Anolis sagrei: one gene and its partners. The protein of the gene in region 4 purifies or fractionates together with the protein of the main gene of each other region. This does not show direct contact. Links are inferred from orthologs where the notes say so. Each region holds a gene or a part of one and is shown on either strand. Other genes may lie near its edges.

The links.
Region 1: the proteins of PARD3 (region 4) and RASSF8 purify together in Homo sapiens (affinity purification with mass spectrometry; 4 studies listed by BioGRID and IntAct, counting the BioPlex papers as one, with this or other methods). This does not show direct contact. The link is inferred for Anolis sagrei from reciprocal best matches to the Homo sapiens genes PARD3 and RASSF8.
Region 2: the proteins of PARD3 (region 4) and PARD6B purify together in Homo sapiens (affinity purification with mass spectrometry; 5 studies listed by BioGRID and IntAct, counting the BioPlex papers as one, with this or other methods). This does not show direct contact. The link is inferred for Anolis sagrei from reciprocal best matches to the Homo sapiens genes PARD3 and PARD6B.
Region 3: the proteins of PARD3 (region 4) and PARD6A purify together in Homo sapiens (co-immunoprecipitation; 7 studies listed by BioGRID and IntAct, with this or other methods). This does not show direct contact. The link is inferred for Anolis sagrei from reciprocal best matches to the Homo sapiens genes PARD3 and PARD6A.

What each region holds. Positions count from the first base shown.
Region 1 is NC_090025.1:91,142,263-91,149,380, forward strand, and holds the start of RASSF8 (ras association domain-containing protein 8), read left to right. Parts: upstream 1-4,097; 5' UTR 4,098-4,407; intron 4,408-7,118.
Region 2 is NC_090024.1:222,696,975-222,704,238, forward strand, and holds the start of PARD6B (partitioning defective 6 homolog beta), read left to right. Parts: upstream 1-4,251; 5' UTR 4,252-4,392; coding exon 4,393-4,461; intron 4,462-7,264. UniProt on the Homo sapiens protein: Adapter protein involved in asymmetrical cell division and cell polarization processes. Probably involved in formation of epithelial tight junctions.
Region 3 is NC_090028.1:43,969,435-43,977,301, reverse strand, and holds the start of PARD6A (partitioning defective 6 homolog alpha), read right to left. Parts: upstream 3,021-7,867; 5' UTR 2,950-3,020; coding exon 2,887-2,949; intron 1-2,886. UniProt on the Homo sapiens protein: Adapter protein involved in asymmetrical cell division and cell polarization processes. Probably involved in the formation of epithelial tight junctions.
Region 4 is NC_090026.1:114,015,410-114,022,870, reverse strand, and holds the start of PARD3 (partitioning defective 3 homolog), read left to right. Parts: upstream 1-4,447; 5' UTR 4,448-4,754; coding exon 4,755-4,874; intron 4,875-7,461. UniProt on the Homo sapiens protein: Adapter protein involved in asymmetrical cell division and cell polarization processes. Seems to play a central role in the formation of epithelial tight junctions. Targets the phosphatase PTEN to cell junctions.

The DNA of each region.
Region 1 (7,118 bases), on a different chromosome or scaffold from region 4:
CCTATGTAGACTTGTCCACAGCTGCATGGTATACGGTAGACTCCTGCAGAGGTGAGAGGATCCCTCTTGTCCTTTGCTGAACGTAGCATTTGTTGGATTTTCTTGGTGGGTTTGTAGATTGTTTGCATGTTGTGTTTCCTCATCAGCTTCCCTATGTGGTCAGTGGTTCCCTTGATGTATGGCAGGAACACTTTTAATCTGGGTGGATCTTCATCTTGACTCTCGTGGCTTGTTCTTGGTCTTGCAGCTCTTCTGATGGCTGAGGTGGAGTATCCATTGGCCTGGAGAGCCCAGTTGAGGTGGTTCAGTTCATCTTGGAGGAGGTGGGGTTCGCAGATTCTTTTTGCACGGTCTGCCAAGGCTTTAATGGTGCTTCTTTTTTGACTTGGGTGATGGTTGGAGTTTTTATGTAGATATCTATCTGTGTGTGTGGGTTTTCTGTAGACGGTGTGACCCAATTGTTGATCTGGTTTGCGGATGACTAGGACATCTAGAAAAGGCAGTCTTCCTTCATTTTCTTTTTCCATGGTGAACTGGATGTTTGGATGGATGCTGTTAAGATGGTCCAGGAACCTGGCTCCAAATGGTGAAAGTGTCATCCACATATCTGAACCATATCGTGGGCTTTTTGGTTGCTGTCTCCAGGGCTTGTTCTTCAAAGTGTTCCATGTAGAAGTTAGCTATGACCGGGCTGAGAGGGCTCCCCATAGCTCTTCATTTTTTGCATCTCATAGACTTCGCATGGGGATTTGGTTAACCAGTTAAAATTCATGAGTAAACCAGGTTTTTTTAAAAAAAATCTGAAACATTTGGGGGGGGGGGGTTGAACCCCTAAAACCACCCCCTCGCTACAGGCCTGCACATCACCAAACCAATATTACCAAACTTCCCCCCTCCCCCTTCCCCTCCCAAAAAAATATACACACATTCCAATATGTGTGTATGAATTTTCTCTACAGTCTACCTCCCCCCCCCCCAAATCTCCCCAGCGATGATTCTCTGCGGGTGCCTGGCTTGTTCTAGGTGCCTCCCAGCCGGGATCAATGCGCTCTACGTGGGGCTGCCCTTGAAGACGGCTCGGAAGCTCCAACTGGTCCAACGATCAGCAGCCAGGATGCTAACTGGGGCCCCTTACAGAGAGAGGTCAACCCTCTTGTTCAAGGAGCTCCACTGGCTGCCATTTAATTTCCAAGCCCTATTCAAGGTGCAGGTGCTTACCTACAAAGCCCTGAACGGTTTGGGACCAGCCTACCTGCGTGACCACATTTCCATCTACGAACCCACGCGTTCTCTTCGGTCATCTGGAGAGGCCCTGCTCGTAATCCCACCGGCGTCGCAAGCGCGCTTGGTGGGGACGCGGGACAGGGCCTTTTCTGTGGTGGCCCCCCGACTCTGGAACACCCTCCCCAAAGACCTTAGACAGGCCCCTACATTGGCTGTCTTCAGAAAGAACTTGAAGACCTGGCTTTTCCGATGCGCCTTCCCAGATTAGGAAATCTCCACTACCAAGTCCCATAAGCACCTTATCAGAACCAATGATTGCTGCACATCGCACTTGCCCTGGAAGCCCTATATACACCTCCTGTCACATCAGCACTTTTAATCTTGTACCCATTGCTTTGGCCTGGCCCAGTTTTATTGTGTTTAGTGTATTGTGCCTGTTGTTTATTTTGCTTTATTCTGTTTTTAATTGTTTGATTTGCTTAGATTGGACTGTTGTGTTGTGTGTTGAGGCCTCGGCCTGTGTAAGCCGCATCGAATCCTTCGGGAGATGCTTGTTGTTGTTCATTCGTTCAGTCATCTCCAACTCTTCGTGACCTCATGGACCAGCCCACGCCAGAGCTCCCTGTCGGCCGTCAGCACCCCCAGCTCTTTCAAGGTCAGTCCAGTCGCTTCAAGGATGCCATCCATCCATCTTGCCCTTGGTTGGCCCCTCTTCCTTTTGCCTTCCACTTTCCCCAGCATAATTGTCTTCTCTAGGCTTTGCTGTCTCCTCATGATGTGGCCAAAGTACTTCAACTTTGTCTCTAGTATCCTTCCCTCCAGTGAGCAGTCGGGCTTTATTTCCTGGAGGATGGACTGGTTGGATCTTCTCGCAGTCCAAGGCACTCTCAGAACTTTCCTCCAACACCACAGCTCAAAAGCATCGATCTTCCTTCGCTCAGCCTTCCCTAAGGTCCAGCTCTCACATCCGTAGGTTACTACAGGGAATACCATGGCTTTGACTAGGCGGATCTTTGTTGCCAGTCTGATGTCTCTACTCTTCACTATTTTATTGAGACTGGACATTGCTCTCCTCCCAAGAAGTAAGCGTCTTCTGATTTCCTGGCTACAGTCTGCATCTGCAGTGATCTTTGCGCCTAGAAATACAAAGTATGTTATGGAGAGAGATATTGACAAGCTGGAATGTGTCCAGAGGAGGGCGACTAAAATGATCAAGGGTCTGGAGAACAAGCCCTATGAGGAGCGGCTTAGGGAACTGGGCATGTTTAGCCTGAAGAAGAGAAGGCTGAGAGGAGACATGATAGCCATGTATAAATATGTGAGAGGAAGCCACAGGGAGGAGGGAGCAAGCTTGTTTTCTGCTTCCTTGGAGACTAGGACGCGGAGCAATGGCTTCAAACTACAAGAGAGGAGATTCCATCTGAACATGAGGAAGAACTTCCTGTGAGAGCCGTTCAGCAGTGGAACTCTCTGCCCAGGAGTGTGGTGGAGGCTCCTTCTTTGGAAGCTTTTAAACAGAGGCTGGATGGCCATCTGTCAGGGATGATTTGAATGCAATATTCCTGCTTCTTGGCAGGGGGTTGGACTGGATGGCCCATGAGGTCTCTTCCAACTCTTTGATTCTATGATTCTATGATTCTATGGCCTCCACATTTTCTCCCTCTATTTTCCAGTTGTCAATCATTCTTGTTGCCATAATCTTGGTTTTTTTTATGTTTAGCTGCAACCCAGCTTTTCTTTCACCTTGATTAGAAGGCTCCTCAGCTCCTCCTCGCTTTCGGCCATCAGAGTGGTGTCATCTGCATATCTGAGGTTGTTAATGTTTCTTCCAGCAATTTTCACCCCAGCCTTGCATTCATCAAGCCCCGCACATCGCATGATGTGTTCTGCATACAAGATAAAAAGGGGATTGGGTTAAACAATTAAAATTCATGAGTAAACCAGGTTTTTTTAAAAAAATCTGAAACATTTGGGGGGAGGGGGGTTGAACCCCTAAAGCCACCCCCTCGCTACAGGCCTGCACATCACCAAACCGATATTACCAAACTTCCCCCCTCCCCCTCCCAAAAGAATATACACACATTCCCAGGCCTGTAGCGAGGGGGTGGTTTTAGGGGTTCAATCCCCCCCCCCCGAAATGTTTCAGATTTTTTTAAAAAACCTGGTTTACTCATGAATTTTAACTGGTTAAAAAAATCCCCATGCTAGGTCTATGAGATGCAAAAAATTAAGAGTCCCTCCAGAACTGTAAGCACTATCTCAAGCAAATATTGACAATTTATTCACACTGTCATTACTTTCAGCAATAGCGGATGTAGTGAAGCAACCAAGTTGGGTGGGGTGTGTCTGTTGAATGCTCTCATTAAGGAGGCCAGACTTGGTGGAGGTGGTTGACAGGGGTGGAGCTGCAGACTATTGAAGGTTGCTTTTCCCCCTGCTGTGCTCTTTGCTTCAGCGTGAGCTAGGAGGTAGGTTTCAACCCCCCCCCCCCGAAAATTTCAACCCTCCCTGAAATTTTCAAACCCCCCCACTGAAATTTTAACCCCCCCCCCTGAAATTGTCAACCCTCCCCGAAATTTTTTTCTGGCTACGGCCCTGCACATTCCTATATGTGTGTATGAATTTTCTCTACAGTCTACCTCCCCCCCCCCCCCCAAATCTCCCCAGCGATGATTCTCTGCGGGTGCCTGGCTTGTTCTAGGTGCCTCCCAGCCGGGATCAGTGACCGGGAGGGAGAGCTTGACCTCGTGCAGCAGGCGCCCATGGGCGCGCGCCTCCCCTCCGCCGGCAGGAGCGGAGGGAAGGCCTGGCCCCCTCCTCTTCCTCCTGCGACGGATGCGGATGCTGCTGCTGCTGCGGCTTTAAGAGCTCCCACGCCTCCCTTTCGGTCCCTCCTGGAGGAGAAGGCAGGCGGACCGTCGGGGAAGAGCTCCAAAGACGCAGCCAGGCGGGGGCGGGGCCAGGAGGCCAGCTCCAAACTCCGTTGCCTGCAGCCAACTCAGCGAGAGAGATTGGGCGCGCGCGCGCGAGAGAGAGAGAGAGCGCGAGGCAAGGAATCCAGTCAGGGAGGCAAGCAGGGCGCGAGCTTCCTTGGCTGGGGAAGGGGCGGAGGCAAGCCCGCAGCGGCGACTGCAGAGAGGAGAGGAACCCCAGCCGCGGATGGAGCCGTAGCCAGAGAAGCCCGTATGTACAAACTTCGGCGTTGGCGTCCCTTCCCTTCACCGCTGCCTCTCCTCGCTTCCTTCCTTCCCTCCCTTCTCCTGCTCTTTTGGGCTCCTCTCTCTCTCTCTCTCTCTTTCCCCCTCCCCGCCTCCAGCATTCCTTCCTTCCTCAGCTGCTTTCTTGCAGGGTTTCCTCTCATTCCTCAAGTCCTCCCCTCTTTCCGACTTGTCTTCCGCTTTGCCTCCTTGACGGCTTGTTTTACCGTCCCCCCCCCCCCCCCCAATTTTCGGCCTCAGCATCATTCCTCCTCCCTCCCCCCTTCACTTGGTCCACCCATAGCAGGCAGCCTGCTTAGGTTTACTAGGAAGTTAATGCATCAACTCAGGATGTCTTCAAACGTCAGCCTGATTTCCCAAACTTGTTACTTTTTTTAAAGTCATAAATTATGAAACTGGCAGCACAATCCGTTGAAAAGAACCCCAAACAGCCCCTTTTGGTCAACACAAATATATTCTTAAGCCACCCCCTCCCCCACACACATTTCTTTAAAATAAGAACAATATCTATATAAATAAAAATGTAATTTGTGGGAGTAACATAACTCAAACACCACTGGACGAATTGACACCAAATTTGGACACAAAACACATATCAGGCCAACGAGTGACAATCACTCATAAAAACACAGCAGAAGGGACTTCAAAAGCCAAAAAACAAAATTTACATTACAGTGCATGCTCAAAACCACACACACACACATACTAGCTGTCCCCTGCCACACGTTGCTGTGGCCCAGTCTGTTGATCTGGAAAATAAAGTAACGAGAAAGTGTTGGTTTCTAATATATGTAATTCCTTTATACTTGTGGGTAAACAGTACTTCTTGTTGTTTCTTTGTCATTGTTGATGTGGAGAGTGCCTGGTTTGCCCATCCTGGAACATGCAAGATATCATTATCCTTCTTTAAGGGTCCCTTTCAAATCTATAATACTATCTCTCTCGCTGTGTGTGTGAATCATATCTATCTATCTATATCTATCTATGGTTGGGTGGCTTTTTGTCAGGAGGACTTTGATTACGTTTTCTTGCCCTGAAGAAGGGAGTTGGATTGGATGGCCTTAAGTATTTTCTGTTGGTCATGGGGGTTCTGTGTGGAAAGTTTGCCCCGATTCTGTCGTTCGTGGGGTTCAGGATGCTCTTTGATTGTAGGTGAACTGTGAATCCCAGTGACTACAACTCCCAAATATCAAGGTCTATTTCCCCCAAACTCCATCTGTGTTCATATTTGGGCGTATTGAGTGCTTGTGCCAAGTTTGGTCCAGATCCATCATTGTTTGAGTCCACAGTGCTCTCTGGATGTAGGTGGACTACAACTCCCAAACTCAAGGTCAATGCCCACCAAACAATTCTAGTATTTTCCTTTGGTCATGGGAGTTCTGTGTGCCAAGTTTGGTTCAATTCCATCGTTGGTGGAGTTCAGAATGCTCTTTGATTGTAGGTGAACTATAAATCCCAGCAACTACATCTCCCAAATGACAAAATCATAATTTTTTGAGTGATGGTCACTCCTTGTGTTGTAAGATGTTTTGTTGCCAAATTTGCTGTGATTTCGTTCATTGGTTCTTTTGTTTTTAAGGTACTCATTACGTACAGAGTATTTATATATAGAAAGAAAGAAAGAAAGATAGATTAGTGAAAGAAAACTTACTATAGGACGGGCCAAATCAGAAGGACATGGGAGGCAAAATGGAAGGGTCTCATTTCCAGAATAAAGGGGAAAGATAAGTATAAGGAGTTAAATAAGACTAACCTCGTGATTGAACAATTGTAATAAGAATAGCAAAAGTAGTAAACTGTTCCTGGGCGGGGGGAGGGGGGAGATGTGGATGGGTGGTGGTGGGATTTGGGAAAATACTGGTATTTTGATTGCTGATTTTGAAGATTGTATCTTTCTATGTCTGATACAATAAAAATGTAAAAAAAAAAATTAAGAACAATACTAGGTTGGCAAGCTTACCTATTGACTTCATTAGGACTTCCTTCTAATGAGCATGCACAAACACTGAGGATCCATCTGTTTTCTAATGTTTGAGTGGATTGAGGGGCTTTTCTGGGGGCCCTTCCACACAGCTGTATAAAAATCCACATTGAGCAGGATTCTATGGCAGTGTGGACTCAGATAATCCAGTTCAAAGCAGATATTGTGGGTTATCTGCCTTGATGTTCTGGGTTATATGTAAGCAGATGTACATTTCCTTCCTGTAATGCAAACCAATGCAGTGGCCTCACTGTACTGTTATTTTTTCTTAACGGTTCGGTCCCCACCTATCTTTGCAATCGCATCTGAATCTATGAACCGGCGCAAATTCTAAGATCTGAGGAGGAGGCCCTCCTCTCGCTCCCACCTCCGTCACAACCATGGTTGGTGGGGACGAGAGAGAAGGCCTTCTCAGTGGTGCCCCCCCCCCCCACCTGGCCTCTGGAACGCCTTTCCAAGGGAAATAAGACAGGCCCCATCCCTCCTCTCTTTTCATAAGAGTTTGAAGACTTGGTGGTTTCAGCAAATCTTCGAGAGTGACCAGTGCTAGCTCAGTCCAGACACTGTCCGGACACAACCTAGCCCCCTATATAGTACTCTGGTCATTCTAACAGGCTCCTGGAAATAGCTTTTGTTCCCACTTTTGTCGTTTTACCTATTACAGTACTGTACCCAAATGCTGGTCCCATCTTATT
Region 2 (7,264 bases), on a different chromosome or scaffold from region 4:
TTGCTTCCTTTCCTTGGTTGACTACAGTACCAAGTCATTTGTGTGATGTTGGGCAACCGATGATTAATATTTTTGAAGAGGTGAGGTCCCAAGATTTCTGCCTTATGAATGTACCTTGCTGACTTCAAGCAACCTTTCGGGCACACCCTCCTTATCTGGAACTCCAACCATGCGAAGAATGCAAGGGGGAGAAATAAACTTCCTTCATAGAAACCTAATAAACCTGGAGTGATAAAACCTTCCACATGATGAGTATAAGCACTCAGAGTTCAACTGAACGGCTTTTGCGTCTCAGAAGCAGGTCAATTCGACTGACATGAAAATCCTCTCCATGTGATCTGTATAGTTTGGGAAAGTTACTTTTTCGAACACTCCTGAAAAATGTAATAGACCTTTTGGACATATACACAGCTTACACATATGTATATTAATAGGCAACACATTCATATCCTAAGTATTCCTTCCACCCTATACTGAAAAATTATCAAAGAAATAACTGATTTGTATGTACAAATGAATTCCCAGTATACAAAACTATGTTCATTTTCAGCTTCAATATACCTATTGATTTTGATCCCTTCCACTTGTTTTTGTTTAGTTTTGATATATTTAAATAATTTGTTTGAGGTTAGAGTTCAAGACAAAAGATTTGAACTGTAAACAGGCCTGCCCTATCCATGGTTACACAGAAGTAAGTGTTGTGAGTTAATATAGTTCATTCCCAAACAGAATTACAGTCAAGAGTGCATCTATATTGCAGAATTAATGCATTTTGACACAACTTTAATTGATTTGGCTCAAGGCTATGGAATCCTGAGACTTGTAGTTCGGTGAGGTGCCAGAACTTTTTGGCACAGAAGATTAAACTCCTTGTAAAACTACAACTCTCAGAATTCCATATCATTGAGCAAAGGCTGTTATAGTGGTGTCAAACTGCATTATTTCCAGTGTAGATCCACCCTGATACACACTTGTGCCATCCAATTAAATGTTGTTGCCTTAGTGTTCACATAGATTCCCCATTAGTCCACCTGTCTTTTACTTGAAAGAAGAATATTTAAAGTGTTAAACCACGAGAAAGATTTCAAACTCTTTAGTCCAGCATAAATTTTGCAGCACACACTTCCAGACCCAAATGCATCTTCATTCACTGAATGACACGGGCGTGTCATTCAGTGAATGAAGATGCATTTGGGTTCATATATCTGTTTCCATAAGGAGACTTAGAAACACCTACATAAGAATTCAAAAGACTCTTTCTAAAAGTATTTCACAATTCAGCCTTTTATAGCAGACACAAAAAAACTGTCATAACAGTATTTTAAAGATTAACACTGTTTTCTTGAATTTCAGTAATAACTGGCTGATAAGCGTAATGAAATCAATAGGGTTTGCATCTGATAATCCACAAACGATTGCATTAGGAATTTGCTATTCCTCAGTCACTTTCAAATGTACCATTTATGTCTTTTCAAGCTGAAACAGACTAAAATACTTTTGGCTGTGAATAATGCCACAATAGGCCTAAAGTCATTTTTTAGTGTAAGTTCTACTTACTTTAATAAGATTACTCAAAATACAACTACCATATATCCAGCCCAATAAATAAAGAACAGTAGGCAGCAGCTGAGATGGAGAGAAATTACAAAGCATGTCCTCTATGACAAGGAATTGTTAAGGAATTAAAGATATGCAGATATATGCTAAAAAGTAATGGCTTCACAAAAGAACTGGTCTGTGAAAACACAAGTGTCCTAGATTTGTTCTATTAATTAACAACAACAGCAGCAGCAGAGCATACATCAATTGAAACTCAGATAGATAAACACTATACTTCTGGAGAAGTTTCAGATCAACTGTTTTAACAACATTGCCCCTTTGAATCTGTATTATTTAAAGAAGGAGCTTTTCAGATATTTATTTATCATATCAGAAGCAAGTAGAGGGTACAATTAGAATGTATTTAAAACACAAAGTTAAAAACTTGGCATTATACTAAGTCTTTTGACCAGAAGCTGGCCACTTGGAGTGCCTCCTAAAGGTGTCGCTGTAAGAAGGTCCTCCATTGTGCATGTGGCAGAGCTCTGGATGAATTGTAGTAAGTGGTCTGTGGTTTGCTCTTCTCTATACTCACATGTCATGGACTCCAATTTGTGACCTCATTTCTTAAGGTTGGCTCTGCATCTCGTGGTGCCAGAGCGCAGTCTGTTCAGCGCCTTCCAAGTCGCCCAGTCTTCTGTGTGCCGGGTGTGTGTGTGTGTGTGTGTGTGTCTCATCCAGTATCAGCCACAAATTGAGGTTCTGGGTAACTTTTCAGGTGATCTATGGAATAAACGGCGAGACTGAAATGTCTTCCCACTGGCTTCTAAATGTTGCCATTTCTGATATCAGATTCGTGTCCATTTTTTTGTTTAGAAACAGATTTATTCTGTGCAGGGCACAAGCTGGATCTATACTGCCATATAATTCAATTTGAACTTGCAAAATATGGTCAATGTAGATCCGTATAATGTAGTTCAATGCAGGACAATTGCATTATGTAGATCTACACATTGTGTGGATCCAGCCACTGCTGAAGGTCATAAAATGTGTCATGTTGGAAGAAAATCAAGTAAATTATCACCCTTGATGTTGTTTATCCTGTAACAATATTGTTTGAGTAGATATGGAGATGAAACCATAAACAGCCTTTTTAATCAGTAAACAAACTTTTTTTCATGAATTTCTTAGAATCATAGAGTTGGGAGAGACCATGTGGGCCATCCAATCCAACCCCTTGCCAAGAAGCAGGAAAATTGCATTCAAAGCACCCCCAACAGATGGTCATCCAGCCTCTCTTTAAAAGCCTCCAAAGAAGGAGTCTCCACCACACTCTGGGGCAAAGAGTTCCACTGCTGATCAGCTCTCATAGTTAGGAAGTTCTTCCCCATGTTCAGGTGGAATATCCTTTTCTGTAGTTTGAAGCCATTGTTCTGCGTCCTAGTCTCCAGGGAAGCAGAAAACAAGCTTGCTCCCTCCTCCCTATGACTTCCCCTCACATATTTATATGTGGCTATCATGTCTCCTTTTAGCCTTCTCTTCTTCAGGCTAAACATGCCCAGCTCTTCTTTCCCATCCCCAAAATACATTATTGAAGTATTCTTATTTTTTCTCTGAAGCACTTCAAGACTTTGGTTGGAACTCTTTTCAATTGAGATCACAAATTGTTACTAAAGTTAAAAGATTATAAATGCTGTAACTATTTAGAGTCATGTTTATTGTCATGAAGGAGCCCTCGGTGGCGCAGTGGGTTAAAGCGCTGAACTGCTGAGCTTGTTTACTGAAAGGTCGCAGGTTCAAATTCGGAGAGCGGTGTGAGCTTCTGTTGTCAGCCCCAGCTTCTACCAACCTAGCAGTTCGAAAACATGCAAATATGAGTAGATCAATAGGTAATGCTTCTGCAGGAAGGTAACAGTGCTCCATGCAGTCATGCTGGCCACATGACCTTGGAGGTGTCTACAGACAATGCCGGCCCTTCGGCTTAGAAATGGAGATGAGCACCACAACTGGACTTCATGTCAGGGGTAAACTTTTACCTTATTCTCATGAATGATGGGGCAACTCTGCAAAGAAAAACAATGCACTGTTTTTCTACGGATGAAAACTAATGGGTTTCCAAGGCTCTGAAAATCTGTTGCTCCAGTAACTAGGGATCCATCTGCACTATAGACTTAATGCAGTTTGATACTTCATTAAATGCCATGGCTCAGTGCTATGGAATCCTGGGAGTTGTAGTTTAACAAGCCCTCTCTACCAAGATACAACTACCAGGAGTCCATACCGGTGCCAAATTGCATTAATCCTACAATTAATCCTGCATTAACCGCCCTAAGTCCCATTGGGGAAAGAGGGTGGTATATAGATAAAGTTGTTGTTACAACGTAGTGCACCTTTCCATTGGAAAAAAAAACTATCAGCAGCCGCGCATGCGCCGTCCTCTCCCTTTCTTTGGAATCCAGCCCGGCAGGTATTTCTCTCCCTGCTGTCTAACACAACACCTCCTCCTTCCCTGTCCCAATGGCGCAGGCGCAGTCTGGATCCTGCCTTCCCTAGCAGGTGCCTTTCTTTTTTCTCTCCCTCTAAGAAGCAACAGGTGCGCATGCGCCTCCGGGGCTCGCAGGTGTGCAGGGGCTTTCCCCTCCTTGTGGTGGATCCGCGGGGCGGCTCCGCGTCCGCGCATGCGCGCTGCTTCCTCCTCCTCCTCCCCTCCTCCTCCTCCTCCTTGGAGCTGCAGGTGCCAGGAGGCGGCGGCTGGAGCTGCTGCGGCGCTGCTGCTCTCGGGCGGACCTTTCCCTTCCTCGGGATCGGCGGAGAAGGAGCCCCAGCTTCCAGTCCGAGCGACCCTCGGGCGGCATGAACCGGGTCCAGCGGGGAGGAGGCGGAGGAAGCCGCGGCCTCGGCCCCATGGAAGTCAAGAGCAAGGTGCGTTCCGCCTCCCCCTTGCTCCCATTGGGCGGGATCGGGGGCTAAAGCGGGATTCGCGTCCACACTAGCGGGTGGCACGCGCTTCAAGGAAGGGTTGGAGACAGCCAGGGCCTTGTTTGTCCCCTTCGGTTGTCAGGGAAGCCGGTTGCTGTGTTTGGGAGGGAGCTTGTGTCGAATCTGGGGGGTTGGAGGGTGCTTTTGTTCTCCTCTTCCTTAAGTGCACAAGAGTGCCCCTGAGCATACGCAGAGAGGCTTCCACGCTGCGTCAGGACATCACTGAGGTTGTCTGATTGGGAAGTGGGTTTGTCGAATCAGGAAATGGTACTCCTTCTTCTTGAGTAGGCAAGAATGCATCTGGGCATGTGCAGAGAGCATTCATTCTGTCGATTCTGGAGTTGCCCAGCTTGGGAAGTGGTTTTGTCGAATCTGGGAACGGTTCTTCTGCTTCTTCGGAGGCAAGAGTGCTTCTGGGCATGTGCAGAGGGCATTCATTCTGTAGATTCTGGAGTTGCCCTGATGGGGAAGTGGTTTTGTCGAATCTGGGAACGGTTCTTCCATTTCTTCAGTAGGCAAGAATGCTTCTGGACATGTGCAGAGGGCATTCACTCTGGGGACTCTGGAGTTGCCGAGATTGGGAAGTGGTTTTGTCGAATCTGAGAATGGTTCCCCTTCATCTTCAGTAGGAAGGAGTGTTTCTGGGCATATGCAGAGGGCACTCAGCCTGGGGACTCTGAAGTTGCCCTGATTGGGAAGTGGTTTAGTCAAATCTGGAGATTTTTTGAGGACGCAAGATGCTTCTGGGCATGTGCAGAGGGCATTCACTCTGGGGACTCTGGAGTTGCCCTGACTGGGAAGTGGTTTAGTCAAATCTGGGAACGGTTCCCCTTCATCTTCAGTAGACAGGAGTGTTTCTGGGCATATGCAGAGGGTATTCACTCTGGGGACTCAGGAGTTGCCCTGATTGGGAAGTGGTTTAGTCGAATCTGGAGGTTTTTTGAGAACACAAGAGTGTTTCTGGGCATGTGCAGAGGGCATTCACTCTGGGGACTCTGGAGTTGCCCAGATTGGGAAGTGGTTTTGTCGAATCTGGGAAAAGTTCCCCTTCATATTCAGTAGGCAGGAGTGTTTCTGGGCATATGCAGAGGGCACTCAACTCTGGGGACCCTGGAGTTGCCCATGCTTCTGGGCATGTACAGAGGGCATTCACTCTGGGTAGCCATGGTCATTCGCTAACACCACACTTTTTCATGCACACAGGACATGCAGGAACTCTGTGAGTCCACTTAGAACTCACAGCCACACTTACAATCCCAATACTTATTTTCCTAGAAATAATAATAATAGAAGTAAATATGGGATTAAAAAGGCAAACTTGGGCCTTTTGGGTGTTTTGGACTCCAACTCCCACCATTCCTAACAGCCTCAAACCCTTTCCTTTTCCCCCTCAGCCGCTTAAGCAGCTGAGGGGGGAAAGGAAAGGGCCCGAGGCTGTTAGGAATGGTGGGAGTTGGAGTCCAAAACACCCAAAAGGCCCAAGTTTGCCCATGCCTGGGTTAAACCTATGATGAGAAGGAAATACATTACTATATGTCTTCTGAGGGCATAAGCACCCAAAAAGTACCAAACTCTGGACTGATCTTGGAAGCTAAGCAGGGTCAGCCCTGGCTGTTTCTTGGCTGGGAGACTGCCGATGGACTCTATTTCAGAGGAAGGAAGTGGCAAAAAGAGCTCTGACTATTCTTTGCCTTTGAAAACCCTATGAAATCCAATGGGTGGCTGTAAGTCTGGTCTTAGAGCAGGCATGGGTAAACTTGGGCCCTCCTGATGTTTTGGACTTCAAGGCCCACAGTTCCTAACAGGAGCCCCCGGTTCGAATCCGGGGAGACTGCAGATGAGCTCCCTCTGTCAGCTCCAGCTCCCCATGCAGGGACATGAGAGAAGCCTCCCAAAAGGATGGTAAAACATCAAAACATCCGAGCATCCCCTGGGCAACATCCTTGCAGATAGTCAATTCTCTCACACCAGAAGCGATTTGCAGTCTCTCAAGTCGCTCCTGACATGGGAAAAAAAGTTCCTAACAGTTAGGAATTGTGGGAGTTGAAGTCCAAAATACCGGGAGCGCTCAAGTTTGGCCATGCCAGCCTTAGATGCTAATCAGGGACAGCCATGGTTAGCACTTGGATGGAAAAGAGCCCCCGGTGGCGCAGTGGGTTAAACCCCTGTGTCGGCAGAACTCAAGACCCGACAGGTCACAGGTTTGGACCCGGGGAGAGGCAGATGAGCTCCCTCTATCAGCTCCAGCTTCTCATACGGGGACATGAGAGAAGCCTACCACAAGGATGATAAAAACATCAAATCCAGACGTCCCCTGGGCAACATCCTTGCAGATGGCCAGTTCTCTCACACCAAAAGCGACTTGCAGTTTCTCAAGTAGCTCCTGACACGACATAAAACAAAAAAAAACTTGGATGGGAGACTACCAGGTGCTGTAGGCTATATTTCAGATTGAGGAACTGGGCCAAAACCACCTCTGAGTTTGCTTAAGAAAGCCCTATTGAAATGCATGGGGTCTCCATAAGTGGACAGATGACCTGAAGGCATATACACACCCACATCTATCTATCTATTTATCTATCTATCTAATAGGTGAACAGGTAACCTGAAGGCACATACACGCCCACATCTATCTCTCTCTTTTCTGCTTTCTGGGTGAGGTGAGGTGAGAGATCGAGCCAAGTATCCCTAGAATCACTTCCTCCTATCAACAACACTTCTAGGTTCTTGTGGGTTTTTTCGTGCT
Region 3 (7,867 bases), on a different chromosome or scaffold from region 4:
ATCGAATTCAGGGAGTTGGGTGAGCTCCCACTGTTAGCCCCAGCTTCTGCCAACCTAGCAATTTGAAAACATGCAAATGTGAGTAGATCAATAAGTATCACTCCAGCGGGAAGGTAACAGCACTCCATACAGTCATGCTGGCCACATGACCTTGGAGGCGTCTATGGACAACGCCAGCTCTTCGGCTTAGAAATGGAGATGCTTTGGTTAGACCACACCTGGAATATTGTGTCCAATTCTGGGCGCCACAATTGAAGAGAGATATTGACAAGCTGGAATGTGTCCAGAGGAAGAGGGCGTCTAAAATGATCAATAGAGACAAAGTTGAAGTACTTTGGCCACATCATGAGGAGACAGGAAAGCCTAGAGAAGACAATTATGCTGGGGAAAGTGGAAGGCAAAAGGAAGAGGGGCCGACCAAGGGCAAGATGGATGGATGGCATCCTTGAAGTGACTGGACTGACCTTGAGGGAGCTGGGGGTGGTAACGGCCGACAGGGAGCTCTGGCGTGGGCTGGTCCATGAGGTCACGAAGAGTCGGAGACGACTGAACGAATGAACAACAACAAAATGATCAAGGGCCTGGAGAACAAGCCCTATGAGGAGCGGCTTAAGGAGCTGGGTGTGTTTAGCCTGAAGAAGAGAAGGCTGAGAGGAGACATGATGAGGGCCATGGATCAGGAGGTGAGAGGAAGCCACAGGGAGGAGGAGGGAGCAAGCTTGTTTTCTGCTTCCTTGGAGACTAGGACGCAATGGAGCAATAGCTTCAAACTACAAGAAAGGAGATTCCATCTGAACATGAGGAAGAACTTCCTGGCTGTGAGAGCTGTTCAGCAGTGGAACTCTCTGCCCCGGAGTGTGGTGGAGGCTCCGTCTTTGGAAGCATTTAAGCAGAGGCTGGATGGCCATCTGTCAGGGGTGATTTGAATGCAATATTCCTGCTTCCTGGCAGAATGGGGTTGGACTGGATGATGGCCCAGGAGGTCTCTTCCAACTCTTGGATTCTAGGATTCTATGAGCACCAATCCCCAGAGTTGGACAAGACTAGGGTGCTCATCTTCATTTCTAAGCTGAAGAGCCGGCATTGTCCGTAGACGCTTCCAAGGTCATGTGGCCACTGGCATGTCTGCATGGAGCACCATTACCTTGCTGCCGAAGCAGTACCTATTAATATACTCACATCTGCATGTTTTTGAACTGCTAGTTTGGCAGAAGCTGGGACTAACAGCAGGAGCTCACCCTGCTCCCTGGATTCGAACCACCAACCATTTGGTCAGCAAGTTCAGCAGCTCAGCAGTTTAACCCACTGCACCACCAGGAGGCCATTACTATATTGCAATATTCTTACTACATATTGTAATATTGTATTATTATTAGTATCATATTGTATTACATTATAATATTATTATAAATATTATATCTATATACAATATATGATATTATTAGCATAGCTCAATACTAATGTTATATATTACTATATTGCACTACACCACTATACTGCAAATAATTATTAGTAAGATGACCTGTAATACATAATATACAATTGTATTATATTAATATATTGTACTATATTATTATAATAGCAATATAATATGAAATAATAGGAATAAGATAATATAAAGTATTAATATATACTGAATACACAATAGACTAATAATATTAACAAAATAATCATAAATTTATTTATTTATTTTATTTACAGTATGTATATCCTGCCTTTCTCACCCCTGGGGGGCCTCAAAGCGATTTACACATAAATAATGGCAAGTTTCAATGCCTTACATCGGCACCGATACGATGCCAATACAAACAATTACAATAGTAAAACCACAATTAAACATCAATCAAAGTTAAAACAATACATCAACAAGCATTAAAACAATAAAACAGTCTTGTCAGTCGAATTGCTGTTCCAGTCAATGTCCTCTAAAATATATAAATAAATATAAATATATAAATAAATATAAATAAATAATATGATTCATGTGAAATTATATATATGTATATGTATATATATGTGTGTGTTTATAATACTAATATCAAATAATATATAATAATATGGCAACAAAATAATATAAAATAACTATATGTACATACAATAATACTATAATAATAATAAATTATATGAAATAAAATAATATATAATAATATTAATATCAAATAATATATAATAATTAGCAACAAAATAATATAAAATAACTATATATATGCACATACAATAATACTATAATAATAATAAATTATATGAAATAAAACAATATATAATAATACTATTATAAAATAACATACAATGGCAACAAAATAATATAAAATAACAATGTGTTTATATATACACATACAATAATACTATAAAATAATACATGTAATAATATAATGTCAACAAAATAATATAAACAATATATATATGCATACAATAATACTATAATAATAATAATAATAAACAGAGATAAAATTATTTATATATATATATATATATATATAGTAATATAAAATAATAATATAATGGCAATAAAATATTGAAAAATAACTCTTTCTCTCTCTCTCTCTCTCTCTATACACACACACACAGAGAGATACACAATAGTACCAGTGCTCTAAAATAATGCTCCTGATGGGAAGGCAATGGGAAGCCGGAGCATCCTCTCTCACCAATGGCTGTGCCTGGGAAGGAAGGAAGGAAGGAAGGAAGGAGGAAGGAGCCCCCCCCCCCTCCGGAGGCCTCCCTCCCTCCCTCCCCAGCCGGTCTCCTCCTGGTTGCATAATCCCTGCTGGGAGGGCGCCTGGGGGGCGGGGGGGGGGCGTAGGAGGCGGAGGCGCCGAGACCCCCACCATCCATCCCGGGGTGGGGGGGGGAGAGGGAGGGCACCTGCTGCGGACTACTGCTCACCTTGCTCTTGACCTCGATGACGGGCTCGGAGGCGCGCGCCGGCGTCCGGTGGGGCTTGGCCATGCTGGGGGGACCCACCGGGACAGGAGGAAAGGGAGAGCAGAGGAGAGGAGGGGGCTAGCCCGGCTCCCCCTCTGCCTCCGCCTCCTCCTCCTCCTCTGCAGGCAGGCAGGCGGACCCGGGGATCTCGCCCCCGCCACCACCACCGCCGCCGCCGCCGCCGCCGCCGCCGCGCCTGACGTCACCGGCCCCGCAGGTTGGTTGCGGGAGAGTGAGGCGCGCCATTGGCCGCAGAAGCGCCGCCGAAAAGGGGCGGGACGAGCAGGACGCCCCCCCCCCCCGGGGAAGGAGGGAGGGAGGCCCACAACGTCGCCTTGGCAACCGGGGCGCACCCCCCCCCCCGCAACCCCGCAACCCCCACCCCGCCTCGCCAGGGACCTGCCCCGCTGCCATCCCGGTTGTGGGTCCAGCACCTGAGTCGGGAGCAGCATCACGGCTGGGGAGGGGGGGGGGCAGAAACAGAAGGGAGGGAGGGAGGAAGGAAAGGAAAGGAAAGAAAGAAGGAAGGAAGGTGGGAAAGGAAAGGAAAGAGGAAAGGAAAAAAGGTAGGAAAGAAAGAAGGAAAGAAAGAAGGAAAGGAAGGAAAGGGAAAAGGTAGGAAAGGAAGGAAGGGGAGAAAGAAAGACAAGGAAAAAAGGAAGAAGGGAAGGAAAGACAGAAAAAATAAAGGAAGGAAGGAAAGAAAAAAGATAGAAAGGAAAGACGGAAGGGAAGACTGAAATGGAAGGAAAGGGGAAAAGGCAAGAAAGAAAGAAGGAAGAGGAGAAAGAAAGACAAGGAAAAAAGGCAGGAGAGAAGGAAAGACAGAAAAAATAAAGGAAAGAAGGAAAGAAAAAAGAAAGGAAGGGAAGACGGAAGGGAAGACTGAAATGGAAGGAAAGAAGGAAGGAGGGAAATAAGGAAGGGGAGAAAGAAAGACAGAAAAGGAAGGAAAGGAAAAAAAGGCAGGAAAGAAAGAAGGAAGAGGCGAAAGAAAGACAAGGAAAAAGGAAGGAGGGAAGGAAAGAAAAAAGATAGAAAGGAAGGAAAGCAGGAAGGGAAGACTGAAATGGAAGGAAAGAAGGAAGGAGGGAAAGAACAGACAATACATCAATCAGGCCACGGAGTGACCATCACTTATAAAAACACTGAAAAACACAGCAGACAAGACTTAAAAAGCCAAAAAAAAAAAAAAACCCACACTACAATGCACGCACATAACCACATTGTTCCACTGACATTAAGTCCAGTTGTCTCCGATTCGGGGTGTGTGTGTGTTGGTGCTCATCTCCATTTCTAAGCCCAAGAGCCGGCGTTGTCCACAGACACCTCCAAAGTCATGTGGCCTGCATGACTGCATGGAGCACCCTTACCTTCCCGCCAGAGAGGTACCTATTGATCTGCTCACACATTTGCATGTTTTCGAATTTTATTTATTTATTTATTTATTTATTTATTTATTTGAGGTTCTTGTACCCCGCCCTACTCACCTCGTAGGGGACCCAGGGCGGCTTACAACAGCAAAGGCACGCTTAGATGCCTGCCACACAAAACAATCATCACAGAAGTACAACAATTCATAGTTAGCACAATTCAAGCCATTATCCCAATAAAAACAATTAAAATCGATAAAATCAATAAAATCAATACAAACCTAATTCTTCCTCCTACCCTATCAGTGTACACTAACTCATAGATCTGTTTTTGATTCCACTTCAACAATCCTGCTGATCTTGCACATCTGATTGTCTTATTTAATTGTCTTATTTAATTGCCTGGTTGCCCAAAGGCCTGGTTCCACAACCATGTCTTCACCCTCCTCCTGAAGGAGAGGAGGGATGGTGATGCTCTAATTTCCCCCGGGAGTGAGTTCCACAGGTGAGGGGTCACCACTGAGAAGGCCCTGCTTCTCGTCCCCACCAGCCTCACTTGTGACAGTGGTGGGGTCGAGAGCAGGGCCTCCCCAGATGATCTCAAACTCCGAGGTGGGACGTAAAGGGAGATACGTTCAGACAGATACACTGGACCAGAACCGCACAGGGTTTTGTAGGTTAAAACCAGCACCTTGAATTGTGCTCGGAATTGAACTGGCAGCCAGTGGAGCTGGCATAGCAGGGGGGTGGTGTGCTCCCTGTATGTCGCTCCAGTGAGCAATCTGGCTGCCACTCGCTGGACTAGTTGAAGTTTCCGAACAGTCTTCAAGGGCAACCCCACGTAGAGCGCGTTGCAGTAGTCTATTCGGGATGTAACAAGAGCATGGATCATCATGGCCAGATCAGACTTCCCAAGGTATGGGTGCAACTGGTGCACAAGTTTTAATTGCGCAAAAGCTCTCCCGGCCACCGCCAAGACCTGGGGTTCCAGGCTCAGCGATGAGTCCAGGATCACTCCCAAGCTAGGTTGGCAGAAGCTGGGGCTAATAGAGGGAGCTCACTCCACTCCCCGGATTCGAACCTACGACCTTTCCATTAGCAAGTTTAACAGTTTAACCCACTGTGGGTTTTGGCATAACCACATGTGTATTTATGCATAAACACATACACACACACATATACACATACATACACAAACAAAACTCATATACACAGACTGGGTCACAGCAACGTGTGGCAGGGGATGGCTAGTCTATATAAATAAAAATGTAATGTTTGTTTGTGGGATTAATGAAACTGAAAAACCACTGGACGAATGGACACCAAATTTGGACCAAGACCCCTCTCAGGCCAATGAGTGACCATCACTCAGAAAAACACTGGAAAACACAGCAGAAGGGACTTAAAAGCCTAAAAAAGAACAACATTCCAATGCATGTGCAAAACCACACACATATATATGCAAACACACATATATACGCACATGCACAAATATATATTTATGCATAAACACATACACAGACACATATACACATATATACACGCACAAAACACATATACACAGACTGGGCCACAGCAATGCGTGGCAGGGGATGGCTAGTAGTTCTTAAACCCAGGAATGGGCTGAAGCTGCCCGTGACAAGTCTTCAAAGGCTCCACAACAGACCGGCCTCTCTCCAGCCGCACAAGTCTGTTTCAACATCATGAATTTTAGACTTGAAATAAAAACTGGGGAAAACACTTGACGCTCTTCCTTTATTTATTTTTGGATCAAAGCCTTTAGATCTTTTTGCTGTCACCCTGACGGTTGCCAAGTTTTCCTGCCACTGGGGGGGTTTGAAACGGGGTTTTTTGGACATGAAAGAGATTTTTCTCCCAGTTTAATAGCATGCTTTTGTTGTTGTTGTTGTTGTTTTTAATTTGATTTTACACTTTGAAAGGATCTCTCGGCTTGGCTAGAGATGGAATACATTGGGTAAGAGTTGGCAACAGCCGTGCTGCCAAGCTGGGTTTCTTTCTTTCTTCCTTTCTTTCTCCTTGTTTACATATCAGTTTGGAAAGTGTGCCGTCGTCGTGCGCTTTGCCATATCTTATCTCCTTGATCATGAAAAGTAAGAAACATAAGACGATCCGTTCTGGTGCGCATTTTGGGACAAAGCACGGCCTGTTCTGAAACTGTTGCCAATACATTTCTTTTAGAGGCTCTAAGGTTTAAATGACACTGAAAGGGAAAATCCAATTTCTCGACACTAGGCATGTTTTCCTTCTCTCGCAGTAGCCGTTCCCTTTCTGAACCCAAAAGGCCTCTCCTTTGGTAAGCTGCAATTCGCTCTATGTGGAAGGGATGATGATGCCTTTGGTGCTGAAAGATGTTGCCTCTACCGACTTGTCACAGTGTAGCTCAGACGTTCAGCCTCTCATCCACTGCTAGACTACTCTGGAATATGGCTGGCAGAGGTCTCTCTGCACAGCCTTAACCTTGGCTGCACATTGATGCATAACCATCTTATGTGCGGGTTATCATGGGTGGGATGCATATTTTGCATTGTTGTAGGATTTCAGGGGGTTTGTCTCTTTTGAGGTTTTTCTGCTGCAGTGGGACTTGCGACCTCATCACGCTAGAGAATGAATCCACTCTAAATCCAGATTCTGCCTCCTGCAGAATTCTGGGGTTTGTAGTTTAGAGGGGAGCTTTTAACAGCCTCATTAAACTACAAACCCCAGAATTCTGCAGGAGGCAGAATCTGGACTTAAAGTGGATTCATTCTCTAGTGTGATTAAGTAATCGCTTGTCCTGAGCTCCCCACTAAAGTTTTGCACTACATGCTGCTATTTATTTATTTATCGTGTCATCAGTAACCATTGTATTGCAATTCTAACAGAGCAAAACAAACACACCGATTAAAAAGAAAAAGGAAAAAAAAAACACACAGATTTTGCAAATTTGGTATTTGGTTAAATGTCCTTTGACCAGTATCTGGCCACTTGGAGTGCCTCTGGGGTTGCCGCAAGGAGATCCTCCATTGTGCATGTGGCAGGGCTCAGGGTGCATTGCAGCAGGTGGTCAGTGGTTTGCTCTTCTCCGCACTCGCATGCCGTGGATTCCACCCTGTAGCCCCATTTCTTAAGATTGGCTCTGCATCTCGTGGTGCCAGAGCGCAGTCTGTTCAGCGCCTTCCAAGTCACCCAGTCTTCTGTGTGCCCAGGGGGGAGTTTCTCATCTGGTATCACCCACGAATTGAGGTGCTGGGTTTGGGCCTGCCACTTTTGGACTCTCGCTTGCTGGGGTGTTCCAGCGAGTGTCTCTGTAGATCTAAGAAAACTATGTCTTGATTTAAGTCGTTGACGTGCTGGCTGATACCCAAACAGGGGATGAGCTGGAGATGTCACTGCCTTGGTCCTTTCACTATTGGCTGCTATTTGCCGTCAGATGTCTCATGGTGCAATACCGGCTAAGCAGTGTCATTTCTCCAGTGGTGTGGGGCACAGACACCCTGTGATAATGCGGCATGTCTCATTAAGAGCCACATCTACTGTTTTAGTGTGGTGAGATGTGTTCCACACTGGGC
Region 4 (7,461 bases):
TGCATGGAGCGCCGTTACCTTCCCGCCAGAGCGGTACCTATTGATCTACTCCACCTTCAAATTAATGTTGACCCCAATGAGATCAATCAGTATTTATGTTATGAAATTGTACCTAAGAATGCAAGCTTAATAACCCTGTGGCCCATGTGCAACAAATGAAGCAAGGCATGTTTTGAGCAATCTTTGGGCCTGGGGCTCAGGAGATTTCCATTCATGAACGTCTTGGCTTTTTGGATCTGGATTAAGATCAAGTTTTCAAGATGAAATGCTCTTTTCTGAAGCCTTTCTTACTGGGACACCAGGGTTTGAATTCCTGCTCAGCTTTGGAAACCTATTGGGCGACCTTAGGCAAGTTACATCCCTCAGCCTCAGAGGAAGGCAAAGCCAACCCACCTCTGAATAAATCTTGCCAAGAAAACCCCGTAACAAGTTGGCCTTGAACCTTTGCATAGTATGGTTGTAATCATGTTTACTCACAAGTCACCCAGCAAAATAAACACAGTTCCCCATCCTGTAACCAGAACCTGTGCAGGTTTCCTCAAATCTCTAAGAGGGCTTACTCACACTACATAATTATAGTGTTCTTATTCCATTTTAACTGGCATACTTCCATCCTGTGGGCTCCTGGGATTTTTAGTTTGGTGCACTAAAGGGCTTTGGCAGTTCTAAATACTGCTCACTAAACTACCTATAGAGAATTAGTGCAGCACAATGGTTTAAGTCAGGGGTCCTCAAACTTTTTAAACAGAGGGCCAGGTCACAGTCCTTCAAACTGTTGGAGGGCCGGGTTATAATTTGGAAAAAAATCCATGAATGAATTCCTATGCACACTGCACATATCTTATTTGTAGTGCAAAAAACACTTCAAAACAATACAATAATTAAAATGAATAACAATTTTAACAAATATAAACTTATTAGTATTTCAATGGCTGATGAGATGGGATTGTTGTTGTGGTTGTTGTTGTGGTTATGTGCTTTCAAGTCATTTCAGACATAGGTTGACCCTCAGCAAGGGCAGGGTAAATTACCTTGGAGGGCCATATCCAGCCCTTGGGTCTTAGATTGAGGACCCCTGGTTTAAGTGATTAACTATTTTTAAGGAGACAAGGGTTTGAATCCTTACTCTTACATGGGGACCGCCTGGGTGATTCTGGACAAGTAACATTCTCTCAGGTTCAGAGAAAGGTGAACTCAGAAATATGAAAGAGTAGAGCTTGTGGTCTACCTAGGTAAGTGTGAATGTTGCAATTAGCCACCTTGATTAGCATTTAGTGGCCTTGCAGCTTCAAAGCCTATCTGGTTGCTGCCTGGGGGGATCCTGTGTTGAACAAAATCTGGCTAGGTAAAGATTTTCCCCTGACATTAAGTCCAGTTGTGTCCGGCTCTAGGGGGTGGTGCTCATCTCCATTTCTAAGTTGAAGAGCTGTTGTAGTTCGTAGACACCTCCAACCATGCTGGCATGACTGCATGGAGCTCTGTTACCTTCCTGCCGGAGTGTTACCTACTGATCTACTCACATTTTGCGTGTTTTCAAACTGCTAGGTTGGCAGAAGCTGGGGCTGACAGTGGGAGTTCAAACCGCACCCCAGATTAGAACCTGCAACTTTTTGGAAAGCGAGTTCATGCAGCTCAGTGGACCTTGTCGGCTCTGTGGTCTAGAAATGGAGATGAGTACCACCCCACAGAATTGGACAAAACTGGACTTAATGTCAGGGAAAACCTTTACCTAGCCAGATTTTAACACAAAACATTTAGCTCATATACATACATACACATACACACACACTCACATATGTATATGTATCTCTGTGTGTGTATGTCTGTGTGTATATATACACACACGCAAACACACACACATACATACATACATATATATATATACATGTATATGTATGTAAAAGGTAAAGGTTTTCCCCTGACATTAAATTCAGTCGTGTCCGACTCTGGGGGCTGGTGCTTATCTCCATTTCTAAGCCAAAGAGCCGGCATTGTCTGTAATAATAATAATAATATAATAATAATAAACTTTATTTATACCCCGCTACCATCTCCCCAAGGGACTCGGTGCGGCTTACATGAGGCCAAGCCCGAAGTACATCAAACAACATCAATAACACAACATTAATAAACAATCAATAAAATACAAATCATATAAATCACATAACAAAAACAATAATCAATAATGACATATTAAAAATGGCCGGGCCAAATGTAATAGATTGAAATTGAAAATATGCTGACATGAACAGGCAACATGTAACTGGGATAGGATTTTTCAGAGAGAAACGAGGGAACGCAATCCATCCTGTCAGTATTAAAGTGCATTATGAGGGCATATTGCTGAGAGTTCTCCTTATTCTGGGAAGGCACACTGGAACAACCATGTTTTCAAGCTCCTCCTAAAGACCACCAATGTTGGGGCATGTCTAATGTCCCTGAGAAGTTAATTCCAGAGTTGAGGGACCACCACCGAGAAGGTCCTCTTTCTTGTCCGTAGACACCTCCAAGGTTATGTGGCTGGCATGACTGCATGGAGCGCCGTTATATATATATATATACCCATACATATATATATACACACACATATATACCTATGTATGTGTATGTATGTATATGTACATACACATACACTACATTCGCAGCTGACAATGGAAGCTCAGGTCACTGCTGCCAGCAAACAGGCCTTTTTCCATCTACGACAAGCGAGGCAATTGGCACCCTACCTATCTGATGAGGCTCTGGCAACAGTCATCCATGCCACAGTCACATCTAGGCTGGACTATTGCAGCGCCCTGTATGTTGGCCTTCCGATGTCTACGACCCGAAAGCTCTGTATTGTTCAGAATGTGGCAGCCAGGCTACTCACAAGAACGCCCATGAAATGCCATATAACACCAGTGTTGCGGCATTTGCATTGGCTTCCAACTGATTACTGTGGTCTATATAAGATGCTAGTTCTGACCTTTAAAATTCTTTACCGCCAGGGTCCATCGTATCTTAGGGACCGCCTCTCCTTCTACCATCATCGGAGGTCGCAACGACCATCCCAACTGACTTACTTTATATACCGGGTCCTAGAGAAGTGCACTTGGAAAGGACCAGACGCAGAGCTTTTTCTTCTTCTGCCCTGCCTTGTGGAATTCCTTGCCACCCTATATGAAAGCCATTAGTGAGTTAGAGCCTTTTACCCTAGCACTTAAAACCTGGCTTTTTACTAGAGCTTTTGATCTTTGTTAATTTTATCAATATCTGTATTTTTATGCTTTACAATTTTAGCTTGTAAATCGCCTAGAGCATCTTGGATGGAGGGCGATTAATAAGTAATTAAATGGTGATGATGAAATATATATGTACATATATATACATGTACATTTTTGAGTCTTAACTCCATATATATATATATATATATATATGTATGATCTTGGGGTCCTCGTGGACAACAAGTTAAACATGAGCTAACAAAAGCCAATGGGATTTTGGCCTGCATTAATAGGAGCATAGTGTCTAGATCTAGGGAAGTAATGCTACCCCTCTATTCTGCTCTGGTTAGACCACACCTGGAATATTGTGTCCAATTCTGGGCACCACAATTCAAGAGAGATATTGACAAGCTGGAATGTCTCCAGAGGAGGGCGACTAAAATGATCAAGGGTCTGGAGAACAAGCCCTATGAGGAGCGGCTTAAGGAGCTGGGCATGTTTAGCCTGAAGAAGAGAAGGCTGAGAGGAGATATGATAGCTATGTATAAATATGTGAGAGGAAACCACAAGGAGGAGGGAGCAAGCTTGTTTTCTGCTTCCCTGGAGACTAGGAACAATGGCTTCAGACTACAAGAGAGGAGATTCCATCTGAACACGAGAAAGAACTTCCTGTCTGCGAGAGCCATTCAGCAGTGGAACTCTCTGCCCCGGAGTGTGGTGGAGGCTCCTTCTTTGGAAGCTTTTAAACAGGGGCTGGATGGCCATCTGTCAGGGGTGATTTGAATGCAATATTCCTGCTTCAGAAAGTACACGGAATGATAGAATCATAGAGTTGGAAGAGGTTCCTGCCTCTTGCAGAATTCTGGGGTTTGTAGTTTTGTGCGCCTGTTCCAAGCTTCTTCCTAAACTACAAACTCCAGAATTCTGCAGGAGGCAGAAACCGGATTTGAAGTGGATTCCCCCCCCCCCCCCGCCCCCTAGTGTGATATTCTAGGATAGATCAGGCATGGGCAAACTTGGGCCCTCCCTCCAGGTGTTTTGGACTCCAACCGCCGGTAGGCGGTTAGGAATGGTGGGAGTTGGAGTCCAAAACAGCTGGAGGGAGGGCCCAAGTTTGCCCCTGCCTGGGAGGGGGGTAGACCTGAAATGTCCAGAGTGTCAACAAAAGAAAGAGGGGAGAGGTATCCAAAAGGAGCGCCTTCTCTTCCCTTAGGAGGGAAGGGAGGGAGGCGTGGGCAGGAGAGGCGGGCGAAGAGAAGGAGAGAAAGAGAGAGAAAAGGAGGGCGGCCCAGTCCGTGCGAAGGGACGCGGGAGGCGGGAAGGAAGGAAAGAAGGCAGGCAGGAAGGCGAGGCGACGCTGAACAGGTGGCCAGAGGCAGCGGGCAGGAAGGCAGGCAGGCAGGCAGCAGAGCCTCCTCCTTCTCCTCATCTTCCTCCTCCTCCTTCTTCTCCTCTTGTTGGCCCACAGCATGTGAAGGGCCATCCACCCGCGGAGGCGCCTTGACCCGCTCTTCCCTTCCTCTTGGGCCTCTTGGGCCGTGGGAGGGGAGGATGAAAGTCACGGTCTGCTTCGGGCGGACCCGGGTGGTCGTGCCCTGCGGCGACGGGAACCTCCAGGTGGGCAGCCTTATCGAGCAAGCCGTGACCAGGTACAGGAAGGCCGTGGCGAAGGTGAGTCTGGGGCTTTGTATCCATGTGTGTGTGTGCGCATTATTATTATTATTATTTATTATTTCATTCACTTATACCCCGCCCTTCTCACCCCGGGGGGGACTCAGGGCGGCTTACAGGGGAGGGCACAATTAGATGCCCGAACACATAACAAGTAATACAAAAAGTAATACATTCAGTTGGGAAGAAGAAGGGAGCCCGAGAAGAGCGCGCCCGGGATCAATATGGCGCTTCCTGGCCTGGGGAGGGCTGGCGAGGGAAGAGGGAGCAAAGTGGGCCAAAGGAGAGCCCTGGAAGGAAGGGCCAAAGGGACAGAGCCCTCTCTCCCCGACTTCCCCCTTCAGTGGGTTCCGGAGTTGGAGTCTCAGCTTGGCCACAATCCGTGGAATAGCGAGCGACTTGGAGTGGGAAACTTTGGTGTGGGAAACTCGTTCCCATTTGGATACTTTTCTGCAATGTTTTGGGGAGGAAAAGGCTTGGAATATGGCTTCTCCTCTTCCTTCTCTTCCTCCTCCCACCACTTTGGGACGAGCAGAGATTTCTCCCTCCTTCCCGGTGTTGTGTTTTGGGGGGGGGGGGGGGGCTGGCGTCGCGAGGAGTCCCGAGGTGTTGGTGTGTTGCCTTCAGGGACTGAACTCTTTGTTGTTGCTCCCGCCTGCCGCTCTTTGGGCTGCAGCAAGTGGTTTGCCCGGAGAGTAGGCTTCCCTTCTTTTCCCATCCCCCTGTCCTTTTCAAGAGCAGCCTTCCCTTCTTTTCCTCTCCCTTCCCTTCTCTCTCTCAGCCTCCGTGCTTTGCAGGCTTCCCTTCTTTTCCTTTCCTTCCCCCCTCTTCCCCCCCCCGCCTTTTCAAGAGCAGGCTTCCCTTCTTTTCCTTTTCCTTCTCTCTCTCTCTCAGACCCCATCCTTTGCAGGCTTCCCTTCTTTTCCTTTCCCTTCTCTCTCTCTCTCTCCCCTCCTCCCCGTCCTTTTCAAGAGCAGGCTTCCCTTCTTTTACCTTCCCTTCTCTCTCTCTCTCTCTCAGCCCCCGTCCTTTGCAGGCTTCCCTTCTTTCCTTTCCTTCCCCCCTCCTTCTCCCTCCCCCCCCCGCCTTTTCAAGAGCAGGCTTCCCTTCTTTTCCTTTCCTTCTCTCTCTCTCTCTCTCTCTCTCTCTCTGAGACCCCGTCCTTTGCAGGCTTCCCTTTTCTTTTCCTTTCCCTTCTCCCTCCCGCGTCCGTTTCTCCCGTGGAAGGAGAGACTTTCCACGCCGAGATCTTCCCCCCCAATCTCTCGAGGTTTTGGAAGGCGTCAGATCAGGAGAATGTGGAGCTTTTTCTAGTTTCCCAAGAAATAGCATAACAAGGAGGAGGGGAAAAAAGGGAGAGATGGCAGCACCTCATTGTCGCCAGCATTCGTAAATATGCTTTATACATACATATAAAGCATATTATTTACACAGAATTGGGACATCATGTGACAGGATCCTGAAAAAAAATGCAAATTATGCCCCTTGTGTTAGATTTTCAAATGTTTTCTGGAGGTGATACAACTCCTTTAGATCTTTATACTGTTTACTTCTCAAGTGCTTCTTGCAACTGTTGCAGAGTTGTGTTTCATAGTTGTTGCAAAGGTTTTTGTTCACAATGAGAGAGAGAGAGCGAGCCTTCTTTGACTCTTTCTCCCTTCCTTTCCTGTCCCTCCCTCCCTGCCATGGGACAAGTTTCCTCCTCCTCTGCCTTTCCCTCTCCACGAGCTGTGGTTTCTGCAAAAGGCTTGAAATCCAGCCCCAGGCTTTCCAGCCAGTCCAGGCCCAAAGAAGCAAGCAGGGAGGGAGTGAGGGAGGGACCGAGGGAAGGGAAACACTCCACCAGAAATCATGGAGTCCCCCCTCTGCCTGGGAGTGGAGTTCTGAGGCTGCTGGAGCATGTGCTCTCTTGGACTTCTGCCTCTTTTCAAGCTGGAAAACAAACTCCTTTATAACAAACCTATGGCGTTAGACCAGCGTGGCTTATCCTCCCCTTGTTTTGAAAAGAGCTCTTATTGGAAAAGAAACAGCTTTTGCTGTAGCGGTGTGGTTGTGCGTAGTTTGAACACTTGCGGTAATACAGACTCTCTGCATTTCCAGAAAAATACTCTCTCAGTGTAGAGGAGAGATATTTGTCTTGTTTCTGTGAAGGGGATTCAAACCATTATTACATTTCAGGAGGAACTGTGGCTGATGTGTCCTTCCAGAGAATCCAGTCTGTTACACACTAACTTGCCCTCCTACTCTGCTTGCATCATTCCTGGTTTTGTGTCCAGTCACCACTTCTCTCCATACAATTCATAAATATATCTGAAACAGGCCCAATTTTGGGGTAGGGGGAGGGGGAGACACATATAATTATTATTATTCAGCCTTGGAACAGTATGTGAGCATGTACAAAAAACATTGAGCGTCCCTGTATTGTCAAACTGAGATGTGAGCTTTCCCGGCTGTAAGGCCATGTTCCAGAAGCATTCTCTCCTGATGTTTTGCCTGCATTTATGGCAGGCATCCTCAGAGCTGGGGTTTTTTTTTGGTCGTGTCAGGAGCAACCTGGGAAACTGCAAGTCGCTTCTTGTGTGAGAGA